Linked DNA regions of Drosophila melanogaster. The protein of the gene in region 1 interacts with the protein of each later gene in a pairwise test. Each region holds a gene or a part of one and is shown in the gene's direction. Other genes may lie near its edges.

Region 1 (7,855 bases):
GATTTGTAGGCCAAGACGGTATAATTAAGTTGGCCCAAAGAACAGGTGCCCGTATCGGTCGTCAGGTGAATTCTCATTCAATTATGGCCAATTGGCGTACGTTTCAATTTGCAGTTTAATCTGTAATATTCCCATATCGATTCGATTTGCGGAGCTTAAGCGATGCCATTCAATGATGCCATTTCATTTGAAAATGGTAGTCGATTGCAAATTGGCAAATGGTCATTATCTTATTGCTATAGGTCAAACCATCTCTATTATTCATTCTAACCAATGCCCACGCAGCCAGCAGAAGTCAAGATTCTCGTTTTAATTGGCTCGATTCCAGTGCAGATTCGTTTGTTCTTAATCCGTTCTTTTTGATATCGAATGAAAGTGGAGCCGGTCTTGCTAAGCTTATATTTTAAACTCGAATGCCATTGAAATGGACTTAGGAAACGGTAGAGTGAGTTAGTGAAGATGTTCAATGAAATACCCAATTGGCTTATTGTGTGGTATGAGTGAATCGGAATACCTCAAGCTAATCAAGAATATTTACGGCCTCTCAGTTTTTTTTTTTTTTCAAATTTTATTTTCTTTCATTTATGTATATTCTCTTTTCGCTTACTATTTGAACGGAAATGGGCGATTTTTTGTTCTCCTCAATTTCCGACATATTTCAGATTGAAAAATATGTAAATTCGTGAAATTAATTAAATTTTGTAATGCGATTATCTACATATATCTTATGCCCAATTAAGAAGAAATAGAAAGAAGAAAAAACCTTAGCGAAATGACCATATTGAATATTTCCCCCAGTTAGTAGTAATAGGCATCCGGTGCGGATAAGATACATTCTGTTTGAAGAATCGGTATAAATTATAGTATAATAGATTTGTAAATTTAAATGACATAACTGTCTTTTAAATCCTACAAAGATAAAGAGTCGCTTAGTTTTGGATGCTTTCAGAAATATGTGTGTACATATATTACCAGGTACCGCCTAGTACTAGCGACCTGCCCATTGTGTCAAGTGGGCAATTTCTTCGTTCACAGCCAAGTTGCCTACGATCCGGAGCCGTGTTTAGTAGGAAGCCCAGCCAAGTTCGACCCACGGCACTTGGATGCAGCGGCCCACGCAGAAATCGAGCCATCATAGCAAAGGCATGACCAAAACAATCCGAAGCAAAGTCGCGTCAAGTACGCGTATATAAATAGCCCGATGCCCAGGCAAATATATGTATATATATGTATATGTATGTGTGTACGAATGACTCAGTCTGAGAAGCGATTTGGACTGAAATGATTTTAGCTAAAATCGAGCAGCACAATATACAAAGTCAACAAACAGCAAAACAAGCTTGTCAAACAGAGTTATGAGACAGAATGCTGGTGCATTGGGAAAAATAGTTTTCCAACTGACAGGCTGAACAAATATATATAACTAAATTAACTACTTCATCAATTTGATCTACTGCTTTCGTTACTCGAAATGTTTCTAGTTTAGCAAGTTGAACTTATGCAGACATAATGGTAAATTAGTTATAAAACTAATGAATTTGGTAAATTCCGATCTTTATTTTGTTAAAATTACAACAACTATTGGATGCTACTACCTGAGGAGAGATAATTTACTTTACAAATCTTTAATATCAAGCTATACTATAGTTTTTTCTCTGTGTAAGTGGAAGGGTTGTGGATGCGGGGTAGAGGGGAATTCGGGAAGGGAAGGTGAGCAGATCAGAGCAGAGCAGAGCAGCTGAGAGATGACGCCAACGTCGCTCAGCTGTTTCTCGGCCAAGTTAAGAGTTGCGGCCTTATAAATAGCCCAAGCTCGTCTAGAAGCCGACTCAGTTGAAAGCGAAGCGTGCCAAGTGGGAAATCGCAACCATTTATCAGTTGACACTTTTTGTTTTGTTTTTTATTTTACGTTCTTTATCTGCTGTAGTGCTAGTGTTTTCTAAGAACTGAACCCCGAAAATGGTGAGTTGCAGTGGGAATAACCAAAATCAATATGTATATATAAACGTGTGTTAAGGAATATATCCTTTTTTTTTTTTAAATCATCTAAACTGAAGCAATCTATCAACGATGGATAATTTATAAACAATTTTATAAAAGTAATAAAAATGGGTTCGATTTAAGGAAAGAATCTGAATCACGAATAAGTATATAGATTTAAACTTGCACATTTATTTGCTGTTTATTTTCTTCACCGCGAAAACTTAAGTGAAAAAATTACGCACAAAGGCAATACATAAAATATGCATTCAGTAAATGATACGTGAATGGAATATTGATGTACTTAAAGCAAACACGACAAAAAAAATATTCATTTCACAATGTAAGGACTTAACTTTGCTATTTGCTATTTACTTCCGGCTAGATGAATAGTGGTGAATGGATTTGCAAATACATCGAATGAACCAAGAAATATTCCCACATACTCGTAATGTTTCTGAAGCCCACGATCGGTTTATTCTTTTGAGTGTCTTCGATCTGCCTTTTATCTGCCCATTTTTTTGTTTTTTTTGGCGATGATCAATCACTCAACGCTTTTTAAGCTGCCCAAGTAAACATCAAGCCCATTATTCATTTGTTTGTGCACAAAGCCAAAAACACAAACCAATTAGTTTCTAGCACTTTAGCATAGCTTGTTATTTTAATTGCCATTACGAGAAGAGTAAAAAGTCCAATAGATTTGAATTGTTTACCTTTTTACCTACTTATGTTGAGCACTTAACATTTTCTTGCTCATTATTTAAATTTAGAAAGCATTAATTTAATCTAAACTCTGACAGGTTTTACGTTTTATTTAACTAATTCAAGATTGAACAGATTATATAGTTGACTATTTAGTTCTCGCCCTTCCAAAAGCAATTATTTAAATGTACATATGTATGTACATATATAATATAACAAATATGGCTCTGATTCACTTCACTTCCCTTGCGCAATGTAATCAGATTATAAATCACCCTGCAAGATGTGTGATTTAAGAAAAAAATCCAATTTCCTCCCTCGGTGGATCCATCCGTGCCATTTACGCGATGATCGACAACTTAGTTGATACGAACATGGACTACCATATTGGTCATTCAGAGTAATTCGAAAAGGCAGCCGACCCCCATTTGCATATTCTTATTGTATGCCGATATTTGAATAATTGTTTTTAGCCCGAATTGAGCTTCCAAAGAAGCGGACAACAAGTTTATCACCCATGTGTCATTCGCCAACAATGATCGCCACCTTGAGAGCGAAGCCATATCATCATCTCGATCGTCTCGTCTCGTCTCGTCTCATCTCCATGCCCAGTTAGCCCAAACATGGTGCCACCAGAATCCCACTGACCACTGAGAGTCCAAGTCCAAGCCAATGTTTGCTACCAAACAGCGGATCATCGAGTTAGTCATGTTTATTGGGCTTTTTCAGAACTCGAATGCGATTATGACACATAAACCGGCAAAGGGGGCGTGATACTCGCTTCTCGATTGAGATGTTTGTTCATATCGAATACTTTAGTGAATGAATCCCAATCCAGTTCAAACTCATTTCATTCGACTGGCTCTACGATTGACGCAGAATATGACATTTATCTTTGTATTACCGTTGTCTTTTATTTAGTTTCGTTACTAATGAGAACTAGTGAATGCACTCCATTTGGAGTTACTTCAAGTTAGTATTCAAATATATTCAAATATTATATTCATCTTAGATCGGTATCGTATTGAATTTAAATTCAAGTGATAGCAGCACTAATCGCAGCTGATCCTTCTCTTGCAGCAGCAGCTCCTGGTCGTGGCCCTGGTGGCGGTGGCCATCGCGTCCTTGCCCCAACTGGCCGCAGGTAAAAAGCTGGGGAAGCGCTGCGTGAACTGCACGTACCGCACTTACTACACCTACGGCGATGGGCGATCCCTGCAGCGGGTTGTCTATAGAGATCCGGTCTACACACGTGGTATTTACACAGCTTGCCTATCAGTATCCGTATTCGTAGTCTTACCGCACCAGCACGATGTACATAGGAGGAGAGCACCGCCGCCAGCACCCTGACCCCTGACCCTTGACCCTTGATCCTTGACCATTGACCCCGCGCCCCAAATGTGTCTGCAGTAGCTAACCCCTAACCCCTAACCCCTATATATATATAGTATAGTATATAGTATAGTATAGTATAGTATAGTATAGTATACATATGTATGTACATACCATACTCGTAGTAGCGTAGCATTAGAGATTAGATTGAGACACAAGTTCACCTGCGCACCAGTGCATCACCTCACCGCCTGTGCCTCTCTCCTCTCCTCTCGCCCACACAGCGCAGTCCTACGCGAGCGGATGCAGCGGTAGCCCGTGCGGCGTGAACGCCGTGTGCCAGGAGGCCTCCGGAGGACGGCCCGTCTGCTCGTGCCCGCCCGGATTCAGCGGTAATCCGCTCACCCACTGCAATCGCGGCGAGTGCCTGGACAACGTCGACTGTCGCGACAACCTGCAGTGCAAGGACAATCGCTGCGTTAATCCCTGCGTGGGTGCCTGTGGCATTGGCTCCAATTGTGACGTAAGTGGGACTTTTATGTCGCCAACACTCCTCCACGGCCAACTTCTGGCGCATTCCCTCGCATTCTGACCATCGGCACTCTACGCCACCTCCGCTTGCTCTTTCCAGGCCCGCAACCACGTGGCCGTGTGCAGCTGCCCCGCCGGCTACAATGGCGACCCATACCACGCCTGCCACCTCAACGATCCGGGTAAGTGCCTGACCACTCCACTACCGCCCACATGCCGCGGGGTAGGCGTGGCAGAGCTCAAAATCGATTAAAATGCCGGGTGTCATAAGAGTCGTTCGCTCAACTGGGAGCTGTTGAAATCAATCCGCTTCGATTGTGTATTTCGTTTCACGATTAAATAAATTAATTAATTGGGAAATCTGAGAAATGCACAATTTAAAGATATATGTACTAGTAGATGATCGAATCAATTAAAAGCTCTTAGTTCTTAACGCGCACATCTTAACATTGATTATGTACTAATAATATATGAATTACAATCATCAGCTGGTTAAAATTTTAATTAGCTAAAAGATGCAAGTGATCATACATGTATGTACATACATAGTGTGGATGTGAAAACCAAGCCGAGAAATAAGCCTTGACCACTTGAATTAAATCAAGGGCAAACAGGTTTCTTTACTGAGTTACATAACAATGAGATGAACCAAGAGGAGCGGAGTGTTTGCAGTGTTAAAATTATTGGCAATACACGAATGCACTTGAAAATTGGCATAATGCAATGCCTTGTCTAATAGAAAAATTTCAAACTAAATGAACACATAGATCGCGACATATTTGTAAACAATTTGTAAACAACTCATGTTGTTTATTATGTTTTATTTATTATTATTATTTTTTTTTTGCATTAATGCAAAGTGGACATACGACTGATTGTTCCGGAAATGCATAGATATAGACATGGATTGACATAGGTACATCGATTAATTAGCCCACTCGCGAATCCCTTCTCCACAATGAGGTGCTAGATAAGTGGCAAGATGACGTCGCAAATCCAAGTGGTATTGCCAAATTTGGTCAAATCTAGTGTATTGACAAAAACAGGGGGCTGGGCCTCTGGACAGCATGTGGGTTTACCTTGCTTGCATAACATTTTGCACTCGATGATAATGAGAATTATAATAATAATAATAATAATCCAAAGCCAACGGCCAACGCCCAACACTTGGGGCCTTTGTAATTTTATGGTAATTAGCATAGCATTTCGCTTCGCAATTGTCAAGATCAAGGACGCAGTGGGCGAGCTCTCAAGGCCAACGAGTGTCCGTAGTCGAGCCTAGTAGAGCTGGAATCCGACGGAACCGAAAGGTGGCCCCGGTTAGGCACCAGTCAACATCCGATTATGGTCATAAGCTGCGCAGGTCGGCCAGCTACCATTCAGGTAGCACAGGTCGGCCGAGTGGCTTGGGAATTTCGCTGGAAGAAGACAACTTGATCCACCCGGGGGCTACACTGCAAGAAACTGATTGAAAAATATCATCTTTAGAACGACAAACTGAAGCACACTGAACGTAATTTGATCGGCTTAAATATTTAAGCGTTCTAAATGGGAATAGTAACATTTCCAAACACTTCATATTCAGAACTTGCCATAAATAGTGGCTAAGCGCAGGTTCCGTCATTAGTTGAAATAATTCCTGCTGGGAATTTCTTAACTATAAATATTAAAATTAACACATAATTGAAAGCTTTTTTCTAAATTGTGACCGTGAAAGTTGAGCGGTGTAAATGTCACTAGGACCTGCTTGTTTATTACCAACATTCTGGCTTTTATACGAACGGACAAACGCACATGTTCAAAAGGCAAATTAACTAGAACTTCTAACCAGGAAATTATTTGATGGGTGGGGGGGGGGGGGGGGTCTTCTACCTCAACGAATCTATTATATTCCTTAACTTTTAACGCCAATATTGAGCTGCTAAATATTATCTTTGGCTTGAATTTCTTTAAAATAAAGTCAGTTGAAAACCAATTTCAATTGCTGTCCGTCCAAGAGTCGGCGTCAATAAATTGCATCTCTACGTTGGTTGCTCATTCGGGATTCGTGTCGAGTCCAAGGGCCTGGCATTTCTCGCCCCTTTTCCGATTTCTGCATCTTAACTGGTCCTCCGATATACATATATTCTTGATTTCACTTAAATCCCTTTCTGTGTTGCCTTTACTCCGGCCTCCGTTTGCGTGCAATTCCCATTGAAATACAATATTTATTTGCATTTCCAATTAGCAACTGACTTGGAAACAATAATTGCAAACGAACAGTCTGCGGGGAATGGAAGTAGCTCGGATTCCCTGCTCCATGATGTTCCCTGCTGCCGCCCCAAGGACACCGGATTCTTTTCCATTCATGTTCCTGGGGAGCCGAAGCAGTTGCGATTCCCTTTGGGCGTGTTGCAGACCAACTGAAAACATTCACGGACATTTGCCTTAAAGATTTCGTGCAGGAATACAAATGAATTGCTAACATTTAAAGGTCCACAATGCGTTTGCCACGCCGATAATAAAAAATAACTATTTGGTTAGCTATATATTTCGAAGAAAATCTACCAATACATCGATTTAATGTCGACGACGAGCATTTCCGACTTTCGTTGCAAGACATTTTGCAATCGATTTTCAAAACCGAACTCCACATTTCATTACAATACATTTTCCCGGCGCGGAAAAGTTGCTGCTTCTCGCAAATTATGTCAAAAGGAAATGTAAGAGAAAAGGCCTGATAATGGCGAAACTTTTGCCATCGGAACGGAAAACAACGCAAACTAATTTCTTGACTTGCTCACCGCACCACCACCATCATCATCATCATCATCATCACCATCATCATCATCATCATCTTGAACGACGAGTAACAACAATTGGTGCAAAAATAAAAGAAAATATGGGGTAAAAACCAAAAATATGCGCATAAATGAGCCCGGCTATTTGAATATGATTTTCTATTTGCCCACTTTGAGTGGCCGGCCCCCAATTATTGGCCCCATTGGAGGTATTTTCCCGATTTGACCGGAACACAAGTCACATGACCCGGCATAAATCAAAAATGGGGCAGCAACAGCGGATGTTGACAGGGGCCACAACCCCCAACGATGGTGAAAGGTGAAAGGTGAAAGGTCGGGTGGAAAACAACTTCCTTCGTCGGCCGATTGAACTTTTCATAGACTCAACTAAATCGACACTTGAACTTGGCAATATAGCACTTACTTACTGAAAAGTCTTGCTCAGATGGAAATGAATCCATCATCGCCATGCCGCATTCAAAATATACTGTTGCAGACAGCTTTGTGGGCGAGTCTACGACACTGCTGTG
Region 2 (4,426 bases), on another chromosome or scaffold:
TTTACTCATTTCTTCTGGTCTCATGAAAAAGCACTTCACGGTTTGAAAATTGTGAAGAGTATATGATGAAAAGCTGACACACGTGCGCTGAAGTTAAATGTATATACCACCAGCCAAAAAAAGCATTATCGCAAATTCACCGAAACTTTTCATAAGTTTGGAGAGCGCTGGGGGAGATCGTGTTCGAGAAAAGGTTTTCCCCGTGGGTTGGGTAAAATGTAAATATCGGTGGTAATGGCCGCCGCCCCAGGAGGTGGAAAAATCAACTGACCAGTAACTTTGGAGCCAACTTTGATGGCATCTTGCGAAAGTTGAAAGTGACTTAAGTGAAATTTCCACCTCAGGCGGCTCAGCAGCAGGACGACCTCGTCCCCTTTTCCATGGATTATCGAGGGGTCACGCCATGAACATGAGTAAAAATTAAATTGATTTTCCTCGGACATTGTTCGGACCTGTTCAGAAACTCGGTGTGCTTTTCTTTTTGGCCCTTCATGGGCTTCTGTCAACCCAATGTATTTTGTCGCATCCCTCGGAAAACTTGAGCTGGGCGAACTCCTTTAACTTGCCTATGTGGCATATTAAATTGGTGCGCAAATAGTTGTGTATTTTATTGACTCACTTTTACAGCTCAGCCAAGAGTATTTCGCATCTGCCCAAATTTTTAGCCAGCAAAATATTAAGTTGAGAGCTTTACCCCTGGAGTCTACCAATGCCGCAATACCATTCCTTTTCTACTCGACTTAAGCGACAATTTCATTTCAATTAAATTATAATTATATCTTCAGTTTGGCCCCATCAAGTTTGAGTCAAACAAAAAGTACAATTTTCATTTTCACCTTTGCGAAAGACGAGGCGGGCGTTGATAATTCCCCAAAATTGTTTGACACTTCAAAGTCATTATGAAGATAGCAATCACCAAACCCTGTTCCTCGGTCCGCTCAACTTTTCTCCAAGGGTCCTGGCATATCTTCACGACATTCACTCCCTGCCACTTCCAAGGCTCAGCAATCCTTCAGCTCCAGCCTGCCCCTCGTCCTTTTGCCACTTTACTCAATCCTAAGATGGGAATTGCCACGTCTGTCTACATACCTACATACCCGCAGCGCTTTTTGATGTAATTTTGGCATAAGCCAAAAAATGTTTCCTTTTCCCGAGATGTCTTTGTCTCCACTTCATTCCCCGGCGAGTGGTTTCCGAATGCGACACGCCCTGACAAATTCATCCGGGGAAAATGAGGAAAATGGCTGAAAATTAAATTTGGAATTAAAATTTTGGCCCTGGGCACATAACTTTATGCCGCTGGATTTTCTTTCCGCCCAGAAGGATTTCCTTACTCAAGGATAAATACTTAAGGCAAGCGTAGGCATAATAATAGCTAAGCAGCTTCTCGGAAATTAAGACGATTTAGTTGTTTAATTCTTTGGTTATCACTAGACTCCACAAATAAAGAGATAGATTGAAAATGTAATTAGATAATCAAATATAATTTTCACAGTTTTAAAGTTTAACAATATTGCTTATTTAAATGGTTGCTTTTCACCTCCGAATTTACTTTTAATCTCATAAGCATTTGAACTTGTAGTATTTTTGGCGGCGATATGTTATCAACAAACAACTCTTCCAAAAATAAACCTATATATTATTTTTTGGCAACCAAATACAATGCCACTCTAAATTGTAAATAACATTTAAGCAGCTGATCCAATTCTTGTGTTCAAAACAACAAAATTCAAAGCAATTAATTGTGCGCTGGTTTTTCTTTTTGCCTTTACTTGTATTAGGAATTATTCTTTAAAATATTTATTGATAGAGAAAAAAATATCCAGACTTATATATATCAATGAATTCGGCCACTGCGTCAACAAATCGAATTCTAACTTGTTTTAGCTATTAAAAGCAACAAATAAATGACGTATTAATAAGTACGCTAAAATAAACCAGTTGCAAAACAAACATTTATTTACTGTATATTGTTTCCATTAAGATAGAAATAGGAAAAAATGTAAGTCAATGAATATATACATAGAAAATATTCTTATCAGCTTACCATATGTATGTACAACGGACGTATAAACATATATAATAATTTTTGCATATAAAAAGATTCAAATGCATCTTGTTCTCAAAAATATTAGTCATACATCTTTTCAGATCGTTGCTCTAAATTCATCTGAGACTCGATCAGATGGGCTGTCGGCGATTTTCTGGAGGAGGACATCACCCACACGGAGGTCCACCTCCCCCTCGTCACCATCATCACCATCGTGGCAGACATGGTGCTGGTGGACGCTGTGGACACGGACACCAGCACCAGCCTTTTCCACCACCGCCTCATCGCCCCCATCGACATGGAAGTCACTTTTGGGAGGGATACGGTCCACCTCCACCACCGCCCCATTATCCACCACCAGGGGGATATCTGTATGGTGGCCACCATTGGCAGGGATATCCTCCTCCGCCACCTCCGCCTCCTTCTTCACACCACCCCCCACCATCTGGATCTCCAGCAGGAGGGTGTCCGCATTGCGGTTGCCCAGGAGGCGGTCCACCTCAAAGTGGATTTCCTGGTACCGAAAGACCTCACAACGAAACCTCAAACGACGATCAGCATGGCAGCTTCCAATCTCCAATTCCCGGTGGCGAAGTTCCTACTGATGAAATACCTGGAAAAAATAAATACGAAATCATTGATATTTAGACAACAGTAGAAAATGTTTCAAAAAAGGTAAAGTCACTATGTTATATCTTGTATCTGAGTAATGTCTTATTAATGATTTTATATTATCCGGATTTTCCTGATCAAAAAAATCGAGTAATGTTATGTTGATAAAAACTTTTCAAATATCAAATAAATAAATATAAATAAACAAATAATTTAAAAACTCCTTTATATTTCCGTCATTTCAATATGGTACTGAATTAGTATTAGTATTCTATTCAATTCCGGATTTTTCTGTTTTTCCATTTTCCCTCTTCCAATAAACTGGTTTATTTTATTTTCCATCGTAACCAGATGTTGACGGCAATACTTTTCTGTGATTTCCTTTTACAGGTAGAGACTCAAACTTAAGTCCCTCAGCCAGGTAGAATACCTTTCAGCTACCTACTTGATATTACCAAATCGTGGTATAAAAATCAAAAAAATATTAGAGCCGCCTCAGTACCGAAACTTCAGCCACGATGAAACTACTGGTGCGTCTTCTACTATAGAAATCTTAACTAACTTAGAAATATTTTTATAATAACAAATTTATAACTATAGATTGCTCTGTTTGCACTGGTGACCGCTGTGAACGCTCAGAATGGATTCGGCCAAGTTGGACAAGGAGGATATGGAGGGCAAGGAGGATTTGGAGGATTCGGAGGAATCGGCGGGCAAGCAGGTTTTGGTGGACAAATAGGATTCACTGGACAGGGTGGAGTTGGTGGCCAGGTGGGAATTGGTCAAGGCGGAGTCCACCCGGGTCAAGGAGGATTCGCTGGACAAGGTTCTCCAAACCAATATCAGCCTGGTTACGGAAGTCCTGTGGGATCTGGCCATTTCCATGGAACTAATCCAGTTGAGTCCGGTCATTTTCACGAAAATCCTCATGAATATCCGGAACATCATGGCGATCATCACCGTGAACATCATGAGCACCATGGACACCACGAACATCATGGACATCATAGACATTAGTACAAATATGAGAATACCCATGACAAAATTAAAGGAATGTAATGCTATAGTTCTCTACCGTAAATTCTTAAGAAACACTTGCTTGTTTCTGAAGTCTCTATTGTATCTAATGTCCAGAATTGATTTGTAAAAGTGATTCTTTATCTAAAACCCCCTTGAGATCCACTATACAACGTGCCTTCTTGAATTTCAGTATCTAAAATGAAAAAAAAAACGGAGTCTCAATAAAAAAGTAAATAAGGAAACGGAACCCTTTACTCTGTCCATTTTGGTTGAGGCATCTATAAATTATTTTGCAGATAGCATACAAGCATATATACCCCACACATCCCATCTCAACTTTTGCAATCGGAGAAAAGGATGCCGTCGACCGCTCCCAAGCGACATTTTCTGACCAAAGCAGCTGACAGAATTGAAAAATAAGCGACGTCCGACTAAAAGGGGGAATGGGGAGGGAATGGTAAAGGGTGGGGTTCAGGTGGGTGGGGGCTGAAGGTGAAAAATAAAAAATGGCGTCCAGTCGAGTGCTCAACCTCAAGATTTATAACGAAGGAAAAAAAATAGAGTCGAGGTGAGGGTGGGAAAAAAGAGCACACGTTAAAATAATGCAAAAGCTGAAGAAAACTAAAAAAAATGTGCGGGAAAAACTGCCACCCACACGGCCAAGGAAAGAGTGAGAAGGAAAACCGCACACACACTGATGCGCGCAACAACGGAAATGGAAAGGATAAAATTAATTTTTCTCCT
Region 3 (4,556 bases), on another chromosome or scaffold:
GGCCGGAATTATGCACCCAGGTCGTCGATCGCGCCGATACCCGATTCCCGATCGCTGTTGACAGCTTTTTTAAATGCCGGCAAATTGAGCAACAGGTAAAATCTCCAGCCCGCGGAGGTGAATCAACTTAATTGCTGGCGGAATTGTGTCAGCAGATCGTGCGTATGCGATTTGTGAAGCAGCGGCGCCCTCCAAAACAATGCCCTTCAATGGAAACTCCGCGGGGCAGGTCCAACCTGAATGCTCTTCGCCATTCAATGGATAACCGTTTAGCTGGGAAATATTTCTTTCGAATTTTTGACGATTAATTTACATTGTTGAGTTTATCCAGATGATGACAAACTAAATACACTCCATATAAACAGAACTATTTTTTATCATGTGTAAAATAATAATTTTGTGTAGTTTTTTTTTTAAGGTATTGTTAGCAAAATGTAAGTAAGCACGTAGTAAAACAAAGAAAATGTATAATTATCTAGTTATATAATTACATATAATTTCTTATCTGGATGAAACCAAGAATGAATGGCAAGATACATATATAAATTTATTTATTTCAATACAAAAGTATTGTACTGAATTAAGCCAAAGGGAAATAAATCGCAATAAATTCAAATTCCCTCGCAATTAAAAGCTTTTACTACAAATTCGCATTCCTCTAATCAATTTGTACTTAGATAATAGCCGAAGCAAACCTAAAAATAACGCTGCCAATAAGAGGCGTTGGCGAAACCAGTTTGCAAAACAAAAATCCAATTGGATAAGTCCGGGCCCCAAAATAAAGATAAAGCCCCCACCTGCGTCAATGTGACAGTTAACGAGGCGATATATGCAGGCGGAATGAGAGTCTATGCGAACGTATCTCCCAATTGGACGGAGAGTCACGGCTCCACCTCCAATTGGATTAAGTAGGCACACACACAAGGGGGCGATAATCATAAATTTAAATAAAGCGAGGGAGCATGCAAGTGAGAGAGGGACAGCGAGCAACCAGATTTGAATATTGCAAGAGTGTGTGTGAAAATTAGCGAGCGCGATTAGTTGTCTCTTTTTCCCCAACGGGTCAGCTTTTTGTGGAACCTAAGTGAGCGATCGCTGCTTTTTGCAGTAGTAGTGGTGAGTGGAGAGCGCGCAGAGAGAGCAAGAGCGAGAGTTTTTCAGAGACAAGAGAATTTTAGCTCTCAAACTAAACTTAATTGTTTTTTTTTACACTAAAATGAATTAATGTTTAAACATAACTCATTGCGGTTTTGAGAGAGCTTAAGCGCTCTCTTTTATCCCTCTCCTGCAATTGCAATGTTGCAAGCAGGTGTGCATCTGTGTGTGCAAGTACCTGCAGCAGATACGAGCAACTAAAGTCACGCACACTTACAGCAAAACCCGAACACAGAGACACTTCACATTGCAATTGTTTCAGTGCACTGCCGTTTGTTTATTTGCCTTTTGTTTATATGGATTTGGCAAAAAAAAACTTGTTGCAGCCCGCTGCCGTTAAAGTTGCCGATCTGTTGCGCATCTTTAAGATACTTTTGGCGAGCTCGCCTCAGTTGAGTTCAGCGTTCAGTGGTTGTAGCTCAAGTGCGCGCGCTCCCCGGACTTTGGCAACACATTTTGTCCTCCGCGATATCCCATGCGCTACTCGACCGATACAATACGATCCCGAATGAACCCCTCTAATAAAAATCCCCATTCTCATCGCTCTCGCGTCGCGATTTTTCCGATCTCTTTTTGTGCCGCAGTTTTTTGCGTTTTGACGACGGCATTTGTGCGAATCGAAACGTGCTGCGAATGAGACGCAAATTTCGCTCATAGTAACATCATAATTTATTGAAAAACTATACGCTTATAGTTTTTAAAGAGTGCCCCATATTGTGCAGATAAAGTACAGTGATAACTAATAACTTATTCACTTGAACGAAATGAATTTGATATTTAAAGATTGAAATGTTTGTCTGAAAAACTCAACAATTGAGGTAAATCCCATGAGTATTAAATTAAGCTATGAAAAATATAAAAGAATTCATAGAAATTTTATTGACACATATCTAGAAAGGTTGATTATTTGTGTACAAGTTGTTATACATGAAAATAAAATAACAATATACATGTGCAGAAAATAAATTTAAAGTTGTAGTTACCACAAAAATAAATTTTTTAATGATTGAAAACCAAGACCAAGGGTCTGAAGCTTCTTGAAAAATTTTAGAATTGCTTACAGTCATCTTTTTGGTATATAAATATTTAAATACCTTGGTAACCAACAAATTTAGGAAAGAAATACAATTGTATAAATGTTTTATTTATAAAAGAAAATAATAATGGGTCATTTAATAAATAACTTCACTGATTTTCTAATTACGAAAATGACTTACCTTTTTTGACTAAAAGATTGAACAATTTTACAACAAGTGACATCCGAAATTTTTGTTGATAAGAGTTCCCCAGGCCACCTGGACCCTAATCATGATTCATTCAATTAATCAAAGCCGTGTAGAATTTCACAATCCTAATCTGCAATCTCTAACAAGCTTTAATAAATGAAACATTTTTGAATTTATGTTGCCTAGCGTTTTTAAAGGGTTTTACCCCACCCCGCAGCAGTAAATAGTGTTTGACAATCTATAAAACGGGCTTTTCACCACTTAATTTACTGAAAATTACTGAAAGTAAAGGAAATGTATACCATATAAGAGGGGGGATATTGTATAAACCATTTTTAAGTAAGGCGCCTTGAGTTTCAGACCGGAGGTAAACAGAACCTGCATCAAAGTTTACTCTACAAAAGTTGAAGTGGGATACCTGTAACTCCAGTATCTTTCGCAATGTCGCCGGGGGTGAACGGTGAGGCGAGAAATAATATTGAAATTGAAATAAATAAATACGGCAAACAAAGTGCGAGAAAAATCGATCGATTTACACTTTAAATATCGTACCAACCCACCGTTCGATTTGTTTAATGTGTATATCTATATCAATACACAAGCGTATATTATGTTGCCTTATTGATAAGGCGATCGGCACGATATGTTTTATTAGCATAACACTTGTGGTGTGCCGCAGTTTTGAGTTCAAGTGCCTCTGGACAAGTTGGAACTGCATTTCCTTTTGGTTGGACACTCGTTCTTTATTTTTTTCTTATTCAAATGCCGTTATCTGGGTGGCGTATATAGATACAGCCGTACAGATACCATTACCATTTGCTGTAACGATCGAGTGATTGATTATTTTTACAGTACAATAATAAATATTTGTCCAGCGTTTGTCGCGTTGCCTGCTTAGCCTAATTAGATAAAAATGGAATGGAAAAACTTAACCTGCTTCTTTCTTCTCCTTCTCGTTCTTGGCGTAGCATTATCTCGACTGCGTTTTCCCATTTACCATATTCGGTGCTCCTCCAGCCGAACTGAACTGATTAAGCCCGACCGGGCCAAGAAGACCAAGACGAGTTGGTTCTTATTGGAGTATCTATATCTATGCGTAGACCCGTGTCGACAATTGCGTCGAAGCTGTTGTTTAAAAAGAGAAATGAGTTCAATTTGTTTGCTCTGGCCTGATAAGACAACTCCGTTCGCAGGTTGGTTGGGTGGTGAGGTGAGGAGAGTTGAGATAGAGTCAAGAGCCAAGAACCAGTGCCATGCCACACACTTCATACCCCAGCACTTTGCATATCAACAATGAAATTGTTCATGTTCAACAATGAAATTTCGGCCAAGCCCCAAAAAAACTAATCAATTGAATGGGTATCGATTTGATAGCAGGATCCTCAAAGGTGACAGGTGCTCTGAAAATGTCTTTTTTTTTACTCTTTAAAGTTACTTACTTTTAAAGGTGATTAGGATTTGAGTTTTTCATTACGTTAGGAGCATATTACTCCCATTCCGAAAATAGATTTATAGTCACCCGCTTTAAATAATTTGTAAAATGAGGTCATATATCAGTGAATTAGATTCTTATCAAGCTAATCATTTCCGTATATCATTTAAATATGAATCACTTGAGACTTGGCGACCAAAAGAATCAGCGGATGGTTGATAAGAATTATTGATTTCTTTGCGGTTGATAAGCCAAATTCGTTAAAAGGGTCCTTTCCCCCACTACTATCTTCTTCGTGCGGAAATTCGATTGGCGCGATACAATAAAATATAATTTGCAAAATTAACAAATAAGTTGAAGGCTCGTGATTAAAGTTTATTAAATTCAATTCTTGGAACTCGTAATTCTTTCACCGGGGGTAAACAATAGAATCTTGAAATATGGGCTGATGTTTAGTCCGCGCAAAGTTCATTGGGGGGCTTGTTTCGCTTAACACGTTTCACATTTCGCAATCTTGGAAATCGGTTTGCACCGGTTTTTCACTTTTTTGTTTCGATGGTTTGCGTTAGGTAAGGTCCGGTGCGATACAACTTGCCTCAAGTGGCGTTAAGTTAAGGGCTGCGTACCTGATATTTGGCACATTAGCAAGTGTCTTCTTAAGTATATGTTTATTAACTCTAAAAAAGTCATGACATTTATTCCATTATTATTATCATTATAAATACGAAATTTATTGCACATAT
Region 4 (4,855 bases), on another chromosome or scaffold:
TAGAAAGCAGCCGAGCGTTACCACCTTTTGGAGCAAGTGAGATGGTTGCTGTGCTGTGTGGGTGGAAAGAGAGGGCCATAGAGTTGGCGGTACGGATCAGATGTTCCATTACACGCTTCGTGTGTGTGTGTGCGCAGCATAGTGTGGATGAAATTTTGATGTGGTGCAAATGAACTTGCCGCCGTTTCGGTTGCATTGCGGGCGGTCACAGGTGCGCGTTCTCTGCTGCCAAGATTCCTTTTCCTCTATCCGCTTCTCACCTTTTCGCCCCAGTCGTATTTGTTCTTGTTTTTCTTCAGCTCGTCAATGGACAGCTGTTTTGAGATACACTCGAAAAAAAGTGTATTAATGCAATTGTCTAGTAAATTTAAAAATATAAAATAAGTTTATGTGGGTTGGTACTGTTGTGTTTTTGTTAATCATTCTTTTTAGTTATTCGCTTAATGAATACCACACATGTCGGTCCAAATTTATCTAAGTGCATTGCGTGTTCCTGTTTTCAACTTTATTTACGCAGAATGACGATGCGTTTATATTATGTTTTCTTATTCGGGTCTAGATTCTGTGTAAGTTAGGCAGCAAATGCAGTTCCTGTGTTCTTCGGTTTTCGTCTACCGCTCCATTCTATTTGATTACTGATTTTATTTCTTCCTGGCCGAAAAAGAGCGTGATAATTACTCCCTGTGGAGAGATTTGATGGTCAGAGGAGTAGCTATTTCATGCGGGCTTGGGGTCACTTCATTGATAAGAACCACGTAGCTGGAGGTCCTTACCATCGAGAATAACAAATTGGAATATATCTTTAATTCTTTATTTTCTGTTTTCCTTTCAGGTGAGTGAAATATCTTGAGCATGAGCTTACCCAAATCCCAGGTAATTTGTTTAAGTCAATTAGAGCAGTCATTTTAACTGAGAAAAAAATTATAACATGCTTAGAGTATTAAACGTATTAAATAAATGTTTAGCGCTTTAACAAAACTCTATGATGTTTTAGTTGAACAGATTGTTATCAAGCCAATTAGTGTTCTTGGTAAAAGTACATAAGTGATGTGATGTTTGCGTCAATTGTACGAAATTGTGTTAGCCATTAAATTTGCCGAATTTATTTCGTTTACCTGTGATCATTAAAACCATGTGTTAATGAATCAACAATGGCAATATATTTATGAGAAATCCATTTAAATGTTTCATACGAACGGTACAATTATCCCTTTTCGTGGAAAATTAATTTCTAATTGTTATTTATAGAGTTTATCCTAGGTTTGTTCAATGCGTTAAAAAAGTAGTAGATTCTGCTACTATTCTACTGCCACTTTGCCGTGTTCTCTTGTTACCGAGCTGTGTGGCAACGCCAGCGCAGTCAGCTGCTGAGCATCAAAACATGAGCGCTCAGCTGATGCGAGAGAGCGTAGAAGAGAGAGGGCTAAAGCCAAAGCAGTCAAACAAGTGGTCGAAAACCGTATAGATGTGCGTGTCTCGCTTGAGTGGCGCATTTGTATGCAAAACACGTACACGGGCAGCTCTCTCCCGCTCAGCTGGTATTTGATACCTCTAGCTCTCTTCCTCGCGCTCGAGCGGAGAGCAAATGTTGCTGGTGTGCGAGACAGCAGCAACATCAGCAGCAACAATAACAACAACAGCAACCACTTCATCTTTACTGTGTGCTCTGCTTTCGTTGCCAGTTTTGTGTTTTTGCTTTTGCTGCCTTTTTTCTCTCCTTACTTGCGTGAGTGTTGATGTTGCCGCTGTGTGTTGCTGTTGTTGCCGCTGTGTATGTGTATGTGTTGCTGTTGCCAGCCGAACGAGCAGCAGTCAGTCAAAGACGGACGGCTTGGCTCAGTGTAGAAATTTCCTTTGGCACGCTTGGTCGCTCGAGCGGTTGCAGGTCGTCGTCAATAGTGGACTGTTGATGTCGCCGCGTCATTATTTGACATTGTTTTTCGAGGCGCCGCCGTCGGTTGCAACCACACATCATCGCGTCGCAGTTAAAAGCAAAACAGCAACTCCAGCAGCAAGCAGCGCAACATTTGCAACATCAATTGCCACCGTGAAATGCTATGCTAGATTGTGAAATAAAATCGCCTACCAATACAAACTAATATCCCGAAAAGGGGAACAAATGTAAGCCGAAAAGGAGTCTGTTCTCCAACAAAAAAAAAAAGAAAGAAAGAAAAGAAGTTCTTCTCTGTGTGTGTGCTAGTGTTTTCCCGTGCTGGTGTGAAACTGTGTCATTCGCTGCGAAAAACTGCATTCAAGTTTTTCCTCAGAGCCGCGACTGCTGGCGTGTTATTGTTGCTGTTGCAGCTAGCTGCCACGGTTTGTTGCTTCACTGATTACGCGCAATGCAGCAACAGCAGCAGCAGCAGAAGCAACAGCAACTAACTGCAGAGGAGCAATAGCAGCTGAGAGTTCAGTTGCGAAACCGGCGAAGCGCGACTGTTGCCAATGCAGCGCTTAGAATTGGCACACCAGCAACAACTGCAACGCTGCAGCAAAGCTGCTACTCCAGCGTCAGCAACAACAACGGTACATTGGGCATTCACAATGTTGCTTGGTGTGCCACTGCCACTGCCACTCCACCACTACTTGTTCCTCCACTGCCATATTGTTTTAACCACTTCCTTTGCCGCAGCGGCAGGAACTTCCTTCCTCACGAGCTTCCTGTCTGTTCGTCCGCTTGTCTGGTTGTCTGCCCTGCAACCCTCAACCCTCCCTTATTAACGCCCCCTCACACTCAACTGCATTGTCAGGTGTTTTCTCTGCCACACAGAAAGAAATGGGGGTATTGTTAGGGTTCATTTGACAGTTTTCACAAGAATTATTTAAAGATAGGTTTTTATGGAATATATCCTTATTCAAACTGCCTTTAAATACCTTCTAAAAATAAAAAGAGTGAAAATCTTAAAATAATGATATATCTTATTGGGCCTAGAGTATTTCCTCTTTTTTCCGTGCACATCCTGGTTGCGTTGTTTCTACTTTTTGTCAACCCCGTTGACGCGCCTACGTGTTCAATACGCTGAGAAAACAACAGTTACGAGTGGCTCAACCAGCAGCTTGTTATTTCTCACACCTTTCGTCCAGACCCCCCGCGCCTTCCTACCACTGCCCCTCGCCAACCCTTTGGGTCCTCAAATGCGCTAGGCCATCCATCGATTTTTTGAGGTCATGCTAAAAATTGCAAAGCCAACTGGAACTAGTTGCGGATTCCCATAGTTGAATTGCCATGGACAATTTGCGGAAGGCAGAGGAAATGAAATTGATTCAAGCCTTTGTGGTGCGATATTATCTAACCGAATTCGATTCGTTTTCTGTGTAGGCCCTTCTGTGTTGCGGATGTTAAGGATTTATGTAAGCTCAGGAACTAATTAGGAAGAAGCACTATGATATTTATCCAAACTAACAATTTTAGTTCGATATATAATGGTATAGAAAAGTATCTATGTACTATTTGCGATTGAACGTTTTGCCCCCGTTATGAAACACTTTTCTCACGGTATTTCCCCATTAAGCAATTCCAGCAAAATCGTATAGATACTAATTTAGTAACTCAGCAATCGCATTTAATCGAATTCATACATATGCATTTCGGTTCTATTGGGACTGTTTTCATTCGACGTGTATCTCAATCGATCGTTTAACCCATATGAAAAGGATAGTCACAGTTATAAACGCTGTCGGATGAATCTCTGGTAACTGGGTTAGTTAGCGACCCGAAAACTTCTCTGCGCCTTTCCGCCGAACCGTTATGCCATATGTATGTATGTATGATGCTCTGCCTGCCCGCCGGTCAGCTCTTCCAGACCAAACCAAACCAAAATGAAGCGAACAGAACAGAACAACCCAAACCAGCTCGAAGATATATATGGATGGGTTTTGTACGGCTTGGCATGGGGTTTGGTGGTGGGGGTACGGAGATACACCTATCTACTATGTATATCATGTCATCCATTGCATGTGCATCGCACATCTCACGTCACCGTACCGCTGCACAGCTTCTATCTCCCTTTCCATATCTGCTGTCGTCTTCCTGCTCGTCGTTTGCCAGTTGTGGAACTCGTTTTCATTTCTTTCGTTAGCAGACATAGACATAATTCTCCAGCTTTTCTAGCGAGCAAAGGGGGTGGGGGTTCATTTTCGGTTTCGGTTTCTATTTTTTTTTTCTCTCTTTCGACTTTGCCAATCGCTCATTTGACCTTTAACGGGTTGTGCTGCATATACATGAAAAGCACACTCAAATCGGCAACAATTAAGCTCATTCAAAACGCGAGCAATGGGCAATCTAAGAAAAAAAAAACACTCGCCGTCGCGTTGCTAGAATCACATCATAAATTTCGGTTTTGATGGGGCGCCAGTTGTTCTGTGTGCGGAGGTGTGAAAACGATACTAGAAGGGGGGCGCACAAAAGACAAAACTCGTTTGGGGGGAAAAGACAACAGAGTCAGCAAATTGGCTTCAATGCGAGTTGAAGGTTAAGTGCGACAGCGACGCGGAAATTGAACATTTTGGATATTGGAATCAGTAGCTGGTTTCGAGCTGAATAAACAAAACAATAGGCATTAACCCCTTTTCTGTCATCTTTCGATTTTTCGTACTTTTTTTTTAGCACGCACTTCAGACCATTTTATTGGCTTCCTAGTATTGTCTGCAAGCAATTAAAAGTTTTTGCTTTAAGCTGCACAAAGAGTTTCATGAGAAATTTGGGATATTAGTTTCGTAAAGTTAAAATTTAAAAGCACAAAAAATATAAAAAATACTAACAGAACGAATTAGTTTTACATTGAAGAAAGAGGATCTTCATATCAATAGAAAATCAAAGATCGAAATGTACAGGGTACCTCTTTTTGCTTATATA

The links.
Region 2: the proteins of aspr (region 1) and sala interact in a two-hybrid assay, tested with the Drosophila melanogaster proteins (one large-scale study listed by BioGRID).
Region 3: the proteins of aspr (region 1) and nub interact in a two-hybrid assay, tested with the Drosophila melanogaster proteins (one large-scale study listed by BioGRID).
Region 4: the proteins of aspr (region 1) and Mob2 interact in a two-hybrid assay, tested with the Drosophila melanogaster proteins (one large-scale study listed by BioGRID).

The regions. Positions count from the first base shown.
Region 1 is NC_004354.4:20,146,300-20,154,154, forward strand, and holds the start of aspr (asperous), read left to right. Parts: upstream 1-1,824; 5' UTR 1,825-1,959; coding exon 1,960-1,962; intron 1,963-3,762; coding exon 3,763-3,937; intron 3,938-4,298; coding exon 4,299-4,537; intron 4,538-4,645; coding exon 4,646-4,727; intron 4,728-7,855.
Region 2 is NT_033779.5:11,483,030-11,487,455, forward strand, and holds sala (spalt-adjacent), read left to right. Parts: upstream 1-1,677; 5' UTR 1,678-2,002; intron 2,003-2,151; 5' UTR 2,152-2,185; coding exon of another isoform or gene 2,186-2,698; 5' UTR 2,699-2,725; exon of another isoform or gene 2,726-2,754; intron 2,755-3,052; 5' UTR 3,053-3,180; coding exon 3,181-3,192; intron 3,193-3,262; coding exon 3,263-3,679; 3' UTR 3,680-3,920; downstream 3,921-4,426. Other genes in the region: CG43355 (uncharacterized protein), read left to right, coding at 2,186-2,698. UniProt on the Drosophila melanogaster protein: Likely to be involved in the establishment of the head.
Region 3 is NT_033779.5:12,586,080-12,590,635, forward strand, and holds the start of nub (nubbin), read left to right. Parts: upstream 1-1,545; 5' UTR 1,546-1,973; intron 1,974-4,556. UniProt on the Drosophila melanogaster protein: DNA-binding regulatory protein implicated in early development. Involved in neuronal cell fate decision. Repressed directly or indirectly by the BX-C homeotic proteins.
Region 4 is NT_037436.4:11,550,096-11,554,950, reverse strand, and holds the start of Mob2 (Mob2), read left to right. Parts: upstream 1-1,838; 5' UTR 1,839-2,121; intron 2,122-2,257; exon of another isoform or gene 2,258-2,412; intron 2,413-4,855. UniProt on the Drosophila melanogaster protein: Required for the normal morphogenesis of a variety of polarized outgrowths including epidermal hairs, bristles, arista laterals, and dendrites.